Linked DNA regions of Caenorhabditis elegans. The protein of the gene in region 2 interacts with the protein of the main gene of each other region in a pairwise test. Each region holds a gene or a part of one and is shown on either strand. Other genes may lie near its edges.

Region 1 (3,431 bases), on a different chromosome or scaffold from region 2:
AGACCCATCTGAATAAATCCGTGCGACTTTAAGAGAGCATGTCAAGATCTCTGAATAAAAATAAAAAAGATCAGAAAATGTCATTTTTGAATTTCAAAAGTAAGTAAGTTAATCGGAGAACTCCCTCACCTTCAAGAACAGTCCTGTGAAGTGCCAACACTTTAGGCCATTTTCCAATAAATTGTTCATACTTGTAGGTCAAGGATCCTTCTTTAGCTGGAGTGGCTGGAGGTGGACCGGCTGATGTTTGTCTGAAGTAGAACACATTTTTTAGAGGGATAATATTGAATTTAACGGATACTCAGAATAAAACAGGTTTTAATGATGAAAAGGTCTACCTAACAGCAACAAGAAAAGTAGGCGAATTGAGCACACTGTTACTGCGATGAAGAAGAATCCTTGACAATGAGTGCATCTGTTTGAAAAAAAGTAGTTTTGTCAAGGAAAAACAAACGAAAAAGTAGAAAAGGCACAGAACCTCATGGATAATTGAAATAATTGTGTCAGGAATAGTAGATAAAACTTCATGTTATTTCCTGAAACTAATAGTATAACAGGCAGGCTAGAATCATAACCATGATCACAGGTTTGTGGGAATCAAAATGACTGGAATGGGAATAAAATGGCAAATTTTGGGCGGAGACAGGAAGTTAAAATACATATATGTACAACTATGTACCAGGGATCGAAATATATAATTAGAGTATACATGTTTACCCATGAGTGTTCAGAGATAAACGTGAAAATATGAAAGACATTGATTTTACTAGAGACGCGTGACTTGGGGAGTTCCAACAGACGTGCTACTGTTGATGCGAATGAGATGGCGATAATCAGTGCCGTTTGCTTCCTTTTCTTGTGGATTTTGTACATTTTTTAGCTCCTCATCAAGTTCGTAAAGCGTGCTTTCAAGTGATTCGTCTTCCTCCTCATTGCCATCTAAAATTGTTACAAATAATCAAAATAATAACCGTAAACTCGACTTACGTTCATCGTCATATAATGCTTGCAAATCTTCTTCCGTCTTTTCGAGCATCCTCAATTCTCTAATTTTTGCATCGAGCATGAATCGTAACTGAATCGACCGCATGCTCAATTCCACGATTCTTGCTACATCTTTGAAGACCAGAACGAGACTGACTTGAAGACACTGAGCAATTGATTCGACGATTTCTGCATGGGAGGCAGTGACGACGCTTTTTTCATTGACAGCAATGACCATGTCGCCTAAAATTGCAGTAGTTGGCAGGAAAAGCTGAATTAAATGATTGAATACCTCGTGTTATCCCGCAGCGATCAGCTGGGCTATCAGCCGACACGTAATCCACATAAGTTATTCTTTCGTAACTGTTTGAAGATGTTCTTTTGAATACATATGATTGGAGAGCAAAGCCAAAGGAAGTTTCAAATGTTTGACGACATAGAAGAAGGCTCCGTTGTGCGGATTCTTGATTGATCCCATCGAAAAGATAATCATTCAGTGGATATTCTTCCTGTAGTAACGAATATTATGGTTGTTCTTCAATGGAGAATCAAATAATTACTTTTGCGTCACACAATAGTCGCTGTTCAGAAATATTGTCATCCGGCGTATCATATTTTGAAGAGCTCGAACTCGTGGAAACCGCACTATGAGCGTCGATGTGATCCATAAAAGCAGAAACTCTGAAATAACATATATTAAACAAAAAAACATGTTTTTAGAGTTTTTTAAATGTTTAAACAACACAAGACTCGAAACAAAGTCGATAAGTTGTAAAATTGGTGAGAAGATGAAAGGAAAAGCTAGAGACGAGAAACATGTACGCAAGCGCCAGATTCGACGCGCAAAGTTTATAATGGGAAATTCGGTAATAACTTTAGAAGAAAGCATATAAAATTATTAAACTTAAGTAAAAAGTGACTAAAACACAATCATCATGCAAAAAAATAAACGACTAAAAGACCAAACAAATGACTAGCGCGTGCGCACCTTTTCTTATTTGTTGTTGAAATATATGAAGGTTACGGTATTTACTGAAACACGCAAACACATGACACGCTTTCGAAATTTCAGCTTTCGAAAACTCGTTCCTAAATACTTTTCCTACTTTTGTGAAAATTCCCTTGATTTTTGTCAAAATAAGGATCATTCGCGATGAATGATTCTTATGCTGAATATATAGCACAAGTAAATGAGTTTACGAGGAATTTCTGTATGAATCCTCAGCGATATCTCGCTGGTAATCAGAGAGGTTTGTGGAAACTTTTAATGACCTAAGTTTCAAGTCGATTTTCAGATTTATCCCAGCCGCTTCCTCCACCTGTACTCTCTGGTGAAGCAGTTCTACCAACCAGTACTTCTGTTCCTCAGCAAATCGCGCAAACGGTTTTACTTTGTTTTCATATTCTGATTGATAAAATATGTTTCCAGAACATGGTTCGCTCAAGTGAAGTACCACCTCAATCTCTTCGACAGGAAATTCAATCATTTACATCGTCAGAGGTGCCCACTAGTAGTCAAGTTGCTGGAGTGAGAAACTCGTTCACACAAAGGCTTCTCCCAATCCAAGAATTGTCGAATTCCGAATCTGTCCCAGCCTTAGATACTGCGCTTGTTCCTTCCAGTTCCACTTTGGCAGCTTCATCACAACGTCGTCTTTCATCTCAATCAATTCCTGTCCTGGTTGGTTTTAACTTTTAATTCCCGTTTAATGAATTTTATTGACAGACACGCAAACTCGGTTCAGTTCAGCCTAAAGTGGATGAAGCTCCAGCTGAAATTATAAGAGAAGTGAACAACTTAAATATTCATCATGGAGCCAACAATCAGGGTGAAGTTCCGTCTTCCGAGTTGAACGCTGATCTCGATGGGGTTTTTGAAATGGTCCAGCGTCATCAGTTCCCGGTAAATTAGAGCTTTGCAGTTCTCTCAAAATTTTTTAGTTGCAGCGTCCAAGTGTATTGATTCCAGCAGAACAAATTGAACAAAGTACATGGCTTTCTGAGTCAAATGATGCTGCTATTAACATTTCTCAAAACAATGACGTCATCGATCCAAATAAAACAATACCATTCATTGCCAGCGGAAAGAGTATTGAAAACATTGATCTTCCATATCTTCCGGGTCAAACGGTTTTTCCTAACATGTTCACTGAATTAACTGCTCGTCTACGTTCCCAAGAGAGGGAAGAACTTCTCCGGCGAGAGTTGAATGAACTTAGTATGAATCAAGGAACATCAAATCAGTTTGATCAACAGCAAATGGTTTAAAAAAATTAAGAAAATGGGATTTAAATTAAATTCATTTTTTAGAATTCTCGTGTCATTCCGAATTCAATGGGTACTCTATGGGAATCATCAGAAACTGGTCAACAAGGTGGTACATCTTCCTCGTCTACCGTCCAAGCATTTCAACAAATGAACCAAACAGAGTACTGCAATTTGGCGAC
Region 2 (4,940 bases):
CCTACTCTTTCGTCACAGCCTTGGTTGAGTACGTTGCCTTTCATTTAAGAACTCTTTGTAGGCACGTTGGTAGGCATGTTGTTCTTGCTCGTATACATTAAAACTGTAACAATTGTTTCAGGTCAAGAAGCAAACTCCAACAACTGTTTCGCTGTTGTGATGTCTGATGAGATGCCAAGTACAATTGAAAAAGTTAAAATGGAAAAAGTCAATTCACATTCATCAGTTTCAATGATCAAGACTGTTAATGAAAATTTCACCGCTTATGCAAGGTTGGTAACATCTTTAAATTTCTATTCTTTAAATTTTCTTCTTTTTTTCAGTCAAAGCGCAACATTCTTCGACGAGTCAAAAGTCTATTCAAACCCAAGTGATATGTTCTTCACAAATCTTCGCAAAAATCATCCGGAAAGTGCACTCAATTCTGAGCAAGCATTCCAAAGTTGGTTCAATGATCAAGTGGTGAGAAAAACCGAAGGAAAGCGAATGCTCGAAAAATGTGTGGAGGAGCTCAGGACATACACGACATCATAATTTAATTTTATTACGGGGGGAATTTATTTTTGAAATGGTTATGTATAACCATGTACGATCTTACGTGTATTTATCTCACTGGAACGAAGCGAATAAATTACAATTTAATGCTAATAATTTACAAATTTAAGAACAAAACAATTAAAACAGTCCTAGGAAGTTGTTGTTGATGGCAAGAATTGCTGTAATTAAATTAAAAATTAGAATTATACTTTGATTCTTTTCTAATAGAAAAAGTGAGCTTTTAGGTAAAGTTTACCTGCAATAAAGAGCATTGAGACTGTAGCAAAGCTGGAACTCTTGTTCAAATCGGTTAAGCACCACTGGAAAAGTTAACATGATTAAATTCAAAAACAAAAAAAAAACAATACCTGATCGATTGGTTGATCTGGCTTGATAGTATTGGCAAAGTTTCTGAGAATATCTAAATCACAGTATGAACTATTTTGAGGACATCCTTGAATTCCCATAGTCACATCTTTGAATCCACTTCCGTCTTGCTCGTGATATACCATTTTGAAGTATGGTTTCTTGTCGACACTATCAATGTAAAGCTCTAAAAGGACTGCAGCAGAATACAATGGATATCCACCAGACGGTTTTACAGCGTATTCTTCAATTAGAAGTGCGGAGAAGAAGGCGTAGATTGTGGTGTCGTGCTGGAAAATATTTTTTCAACATTTTAAAAATATTTAGAACCATTGTTTTATGGTAAAATTAACTTACAGCAGAGTAAATGTAATTCTTCAAATTATTAATCCATGTGCAATTTGGAGTTGTCTGACCCTGGCACATCAATTTGAGATTTATATGCATAACCATATCATTCAAAATTGGTCCACCTCTGACCTTTCGAGTTAACACTCCTACATCATGTCCGTTGACAATGTTTGGAACAGCTGAAAAATAAAATTACACTTTTATGAGTTGTTTTCTCAATTAATTGAGTCGCTCAGAGGATGGGGAAATTTGAAGTTTTCTCGGCGCCCATTTTTGACCAGCATTTGACCTAACTTCCCGTCAAAGTTTCAGTCATTTTATGTCCAACTTTTCAAAGTTTGATTTTTTTTTGATAATAAAAAATTAGTCAAGAAATGAGATACTACTGCCGAGCACACAACAAATACGTTTTTTCTTATCACTAATACGATTTAAAACTATTTAGAAAAAGCTTCAGTTACAAAGATAAATAATAACAATAGTATGTAAAAATTCCAAAACAAAAAGTAACTACCTACTTTTAAAAATTCCATTTTGGAAAAGTTGAACTTGATCATTAATTGCATCAGCTTTTGCATAGAAGGCATCAGTGAACCAATTGTTTTTTGTACGAAGAGTGGCATTATAGTAAATTTGCTGCAAATATCATATTAATGGGTCATACTTGATCTTTACTCTTTTTACTTCAATGTAAAGAGCATTGGTGATAATCCAAAGGTTATCAATGTCAACTGGCTGTCCGCAGTAATTCGTAAGATTTCCTAGCACTGCTTGAACCTGAAATAGACACGAAATATGTCAAAAATTCATGTCACTGATAAGCCTCACATCAGCAGAGTTGACAAAGCTCTTAACTTCATCGGAAGTTTTTGCAAGTTCCCATACTTGATCTTTGAATGGGCATGTAGATTCCATGTTACCCAACTGAAATTATTTAAGTTTGTTTCCTATATCGGAGTCTTCTCTCTAGCTTTTATGCCACTCTTAGTGATCAAAATGACAAAGTACAATTTTCCTTCAGTTTCAGTTTCAAGGCATTACGAAATATTTTCAGGTAAATTAATCATACCACCCTATCATTTTTCTAATCGTCTTAAACTTCACTTGCCAGCACTTTGTCACTTAAGTCTACAATTCATTTTAAAGTAATCGGATTACGGTAGCACTCACATGATCAGTGTCATCATCGACTGTATGCACAGCAATTGGGACATATCCAGCTGGCCATCCATCAACATCTGGATAATCTAGGCCTGGTGTGCTACTGTTGTCATTTTGTCCGTATTGTCCGAGCAAGTTGGACATTGCAGAAATAATTGTTCTATTAACATCAGTAGACCGGACATAGATCTTAACAAATATAATTTCACTCGGAAAGTGCACATCTATAAAATTACCTGTTTGGCGTTGTACTTGTTAGGCAAAAAGTTGTAGTTTGTGACGTAGCGATTACGGAGCATTTTACCAAGATTCAAGTGTTGTTTCATTCCTGCCTGAAAATTGCATTTGATACTTTAAGCTGTAGAAAATATATCTACTTGGATTTGTGAAAGTATTTGAGTATTTGTAAAATGTCACTAAAACTTTAAAGTAATGACCGAAGAAGAATTTGAAAGATCTGTGAAAGCTGGGAAAGCAAAAAAAGTTAAAATTTCTTCAGAACCAAATGTATTTTAGATACTTCTAATTTGCACAAAACTGACCGGGCTCAACTGTCCCCATCCACCACCTCCGAATTGCCAAGCATCCTCTTGAAATGGATCAGTTTTGAACGTTTTTGTTGGTGAACGATCTCCGTGTCTCCAAAGCTTAAAACTCGAAAAATTCAACTTCTCTTGAGATAACTTCTACCAACCGTTTGAACAAAAACAAGGTCTTTAGTACCATCAGAGTATGTAGTCACGAAACCCTCAAGGGCAAAAATTGCCACAATGGAAATGGCAGAGACCATAGTAAAAGTTACCCCTGAAAATGCGGAAAATGTGATTTAGAGTTTTGTGCAATGAAAATCAAGTTCAGAGACGAAACAAAAAACCGGAGCATGCCGGAGAAATTGTAGTAATGTCTTTTATCAGTTGGCTACTCGATGCCAATATTCGTCTCCTTCTTTTTTTGATAATGATCAATGCTTCTTTATCATCATGCCACTGATGAGTGTCCAATTCTTTAGTACAGTTTACATAGAAATTCGACTTTTATTCAAGTTGGTTTGTTCCCGGAATTTTGGTTTTTCTACAACTAGTCGCGGCTGATGCAATTTTGCATCTTCAGTAACTCTACAATAGTCGTACTTGTCACATCTGAGGAAGATCCATCTCGAACTGCTGCTTTTTTTTTGTTTTTAGGCTTCCCCAAACTTATATGTTGGACACAAATACATTTTTTATTTTATTTACAAGTATCAATATTATTCTAATATAATAAAAGATTATTTAGATGAAACAAATAAATAAAAAATTGAGAACGCCAGAAGAGATGAGAAGATTGATGAAGTTGAAGTGCTCTTCAGAATATTGACATCACACCACTGAAACCCTAATTATTTTTAAAAACTTAAAAAATCCCAATTACCTGGTTCATTTCCATTTCAGGTTTGAAAACGTCGGAATAGTTTTTGAGCACTGCCATTGGACAATAGTCGCCGCTACCCTCACATCCAGGAATTCCTAAAATTTCGTAAAATTGACATGCAAATATAATTCTTTTAGTTGAATTTCTTTGGAAATTTGACCTATTTCGAATAAAAACCCACCTGATGTAATCACATTGCTCAGAGTATCATTTTCATGACGATGGTAGATCAACTGAAAGAATATCAATCAATTTATTAAAACTAATCGATTATTTTAGAAGCTCACCTTGAAATAAGTCTGATTCGTTTGCACATCCTGCCATTGTTCAAAAAGAGCACATGCAGAATAGAGAGGATATCCACGTGGCTGCACAGCCAATTTGGCGACACCGAGCAATGAAAAAAGGGCGTAGAGGGTTGTGTCGTGCTGGAAGGATCAAAAATTTTACTTTTTACATTTACTTTTTTCAAATAACATTTGTTCAAAAAAGATTTCGTTTCTTCAATGAAAATACTACAAGTTGTGCAAAATAGTTTCTATCAAAATTGAAAGCATGTAAGCTACTATATGAAGTTAGTTTATTTTTATAAGAATCACAAAATATGAATCACAAATTTGAAATATTGCGATTGTTAACAAATCACAAAAATTATGCAAACTCACTGCTGAATAAGCGAAAAATTTCAATCGATTCGTGTAAGTACACTCTTTTCCATTATTTGATGAACATTGCGTTTTCCTATTCATATGATTGTAGATGTCATTGACTAGAGTCCCACCACGAATCTTTCGAAGAATCTTTCCAATGTCGATTCCGTTTACCATTTTTCCTGGAAATTGGAATGAGTTTAATTTTTAAGAATCTTGTTTTTTTTTCCTTCCGAATTTTTTTTCTGAAATTGTTAATATTAAAACATGTCTCACCTTCCAAACCCAAACCATTTTGAAAATCTTGAACCTGCGAATTGACAATATCAATTTGCTCAAACAAACTGTCAGTGTACCATGGTGTGAATTGTTTGAACTGAGCTGGATAATATTGTTTCTCAATCTTAAGTGCATTATAAAGAATCCATAAATTATCTGGATTAATCTCTTCTCCGCAATAATTTG

The links. The genes of interacting proteins can lie anywhere in the genome.
Region 1: the proteins of pho-1 (region 2) and gras-1 interact in a two-hybrid assay, tested with the Caenorhabditis elegans proteins (one large-scale study listed by BioGRID).

The regions. Positions count from the first base shown.
Region 1 is NC_003279.8:7,834,048-7,837,478, reverse strand, and holds gras-1 (General receptor for phosphoinositides 1-associated scaffold protein 1 homolog), read right to left. Parts: upstream 1,672-3,431; 5' UTR 1,653-1,671; coding exon 1,545-1,652; intron 1,494-1,544; coding exon 1,277-1,493; intron 1,228-1,276; coding exon 988-1,227; intron 940-987; coding exon 767-939; 3' UTR 512-766; downstream 1-511. Other genes in the region: F30F8.9 (Letm1 RBD domain-containing protein), read right to left, coding at 130-251, 339-415; F30F8.1 (RING-type domain-containing protein), read left to right, coding at 2,138-2,234, 2,280-2,368, 2,414-2,665, 2,711-2,887, 2,932-3,246, 3,295-3,431.
Region 2 is NC_003280.10:5,232,628-5,237,567, forward strand, and holds pho-1 (Intestinal acid phosphatase), read right to left. Parts: upstream 3,220-4,940; 5' UTR 3,206-3,219; coding exon 3,110-3,205; intron 3,063-3,109; coding exon 2,958-3,062; intron 2,748-2,957; coding exon 2,652-2,747; intron 2,605-2,651; coding exon 2,425-2,604; intron 2,179-2,424; coding exon 2,083-2,178; intron 2,032-2,082; coding exon 1,939-2,031; intron 1,891-1,938; coding exon 1,773-1,890; intron 1,434-1,772; coding exon 1,261-1,433; intron 1,194-1,260; coding exon 906-1,193; intron 858-905; coding exon 794-857; intron 717-793; coding exon 676-716; 3' UTR 535-675; downstream 1-534. Other genes in the region: EGAP2.1 (DDE_Tnp_ISL3 domain-containing protein), read left to right, coding at 122-272, 324-534; pho-4 (intestinal acid PHOsphatase), read right to left, coding at 3,683-3,781, 3,826-3,920, 4,007-4,058, 4,113-4,253, 4,491-4,657, 4,752-4,940. UniProt on the Caenorhabditis elegans protein: Acid phosphatase required for normal growth and development. Specifically required for normal gut differentiation.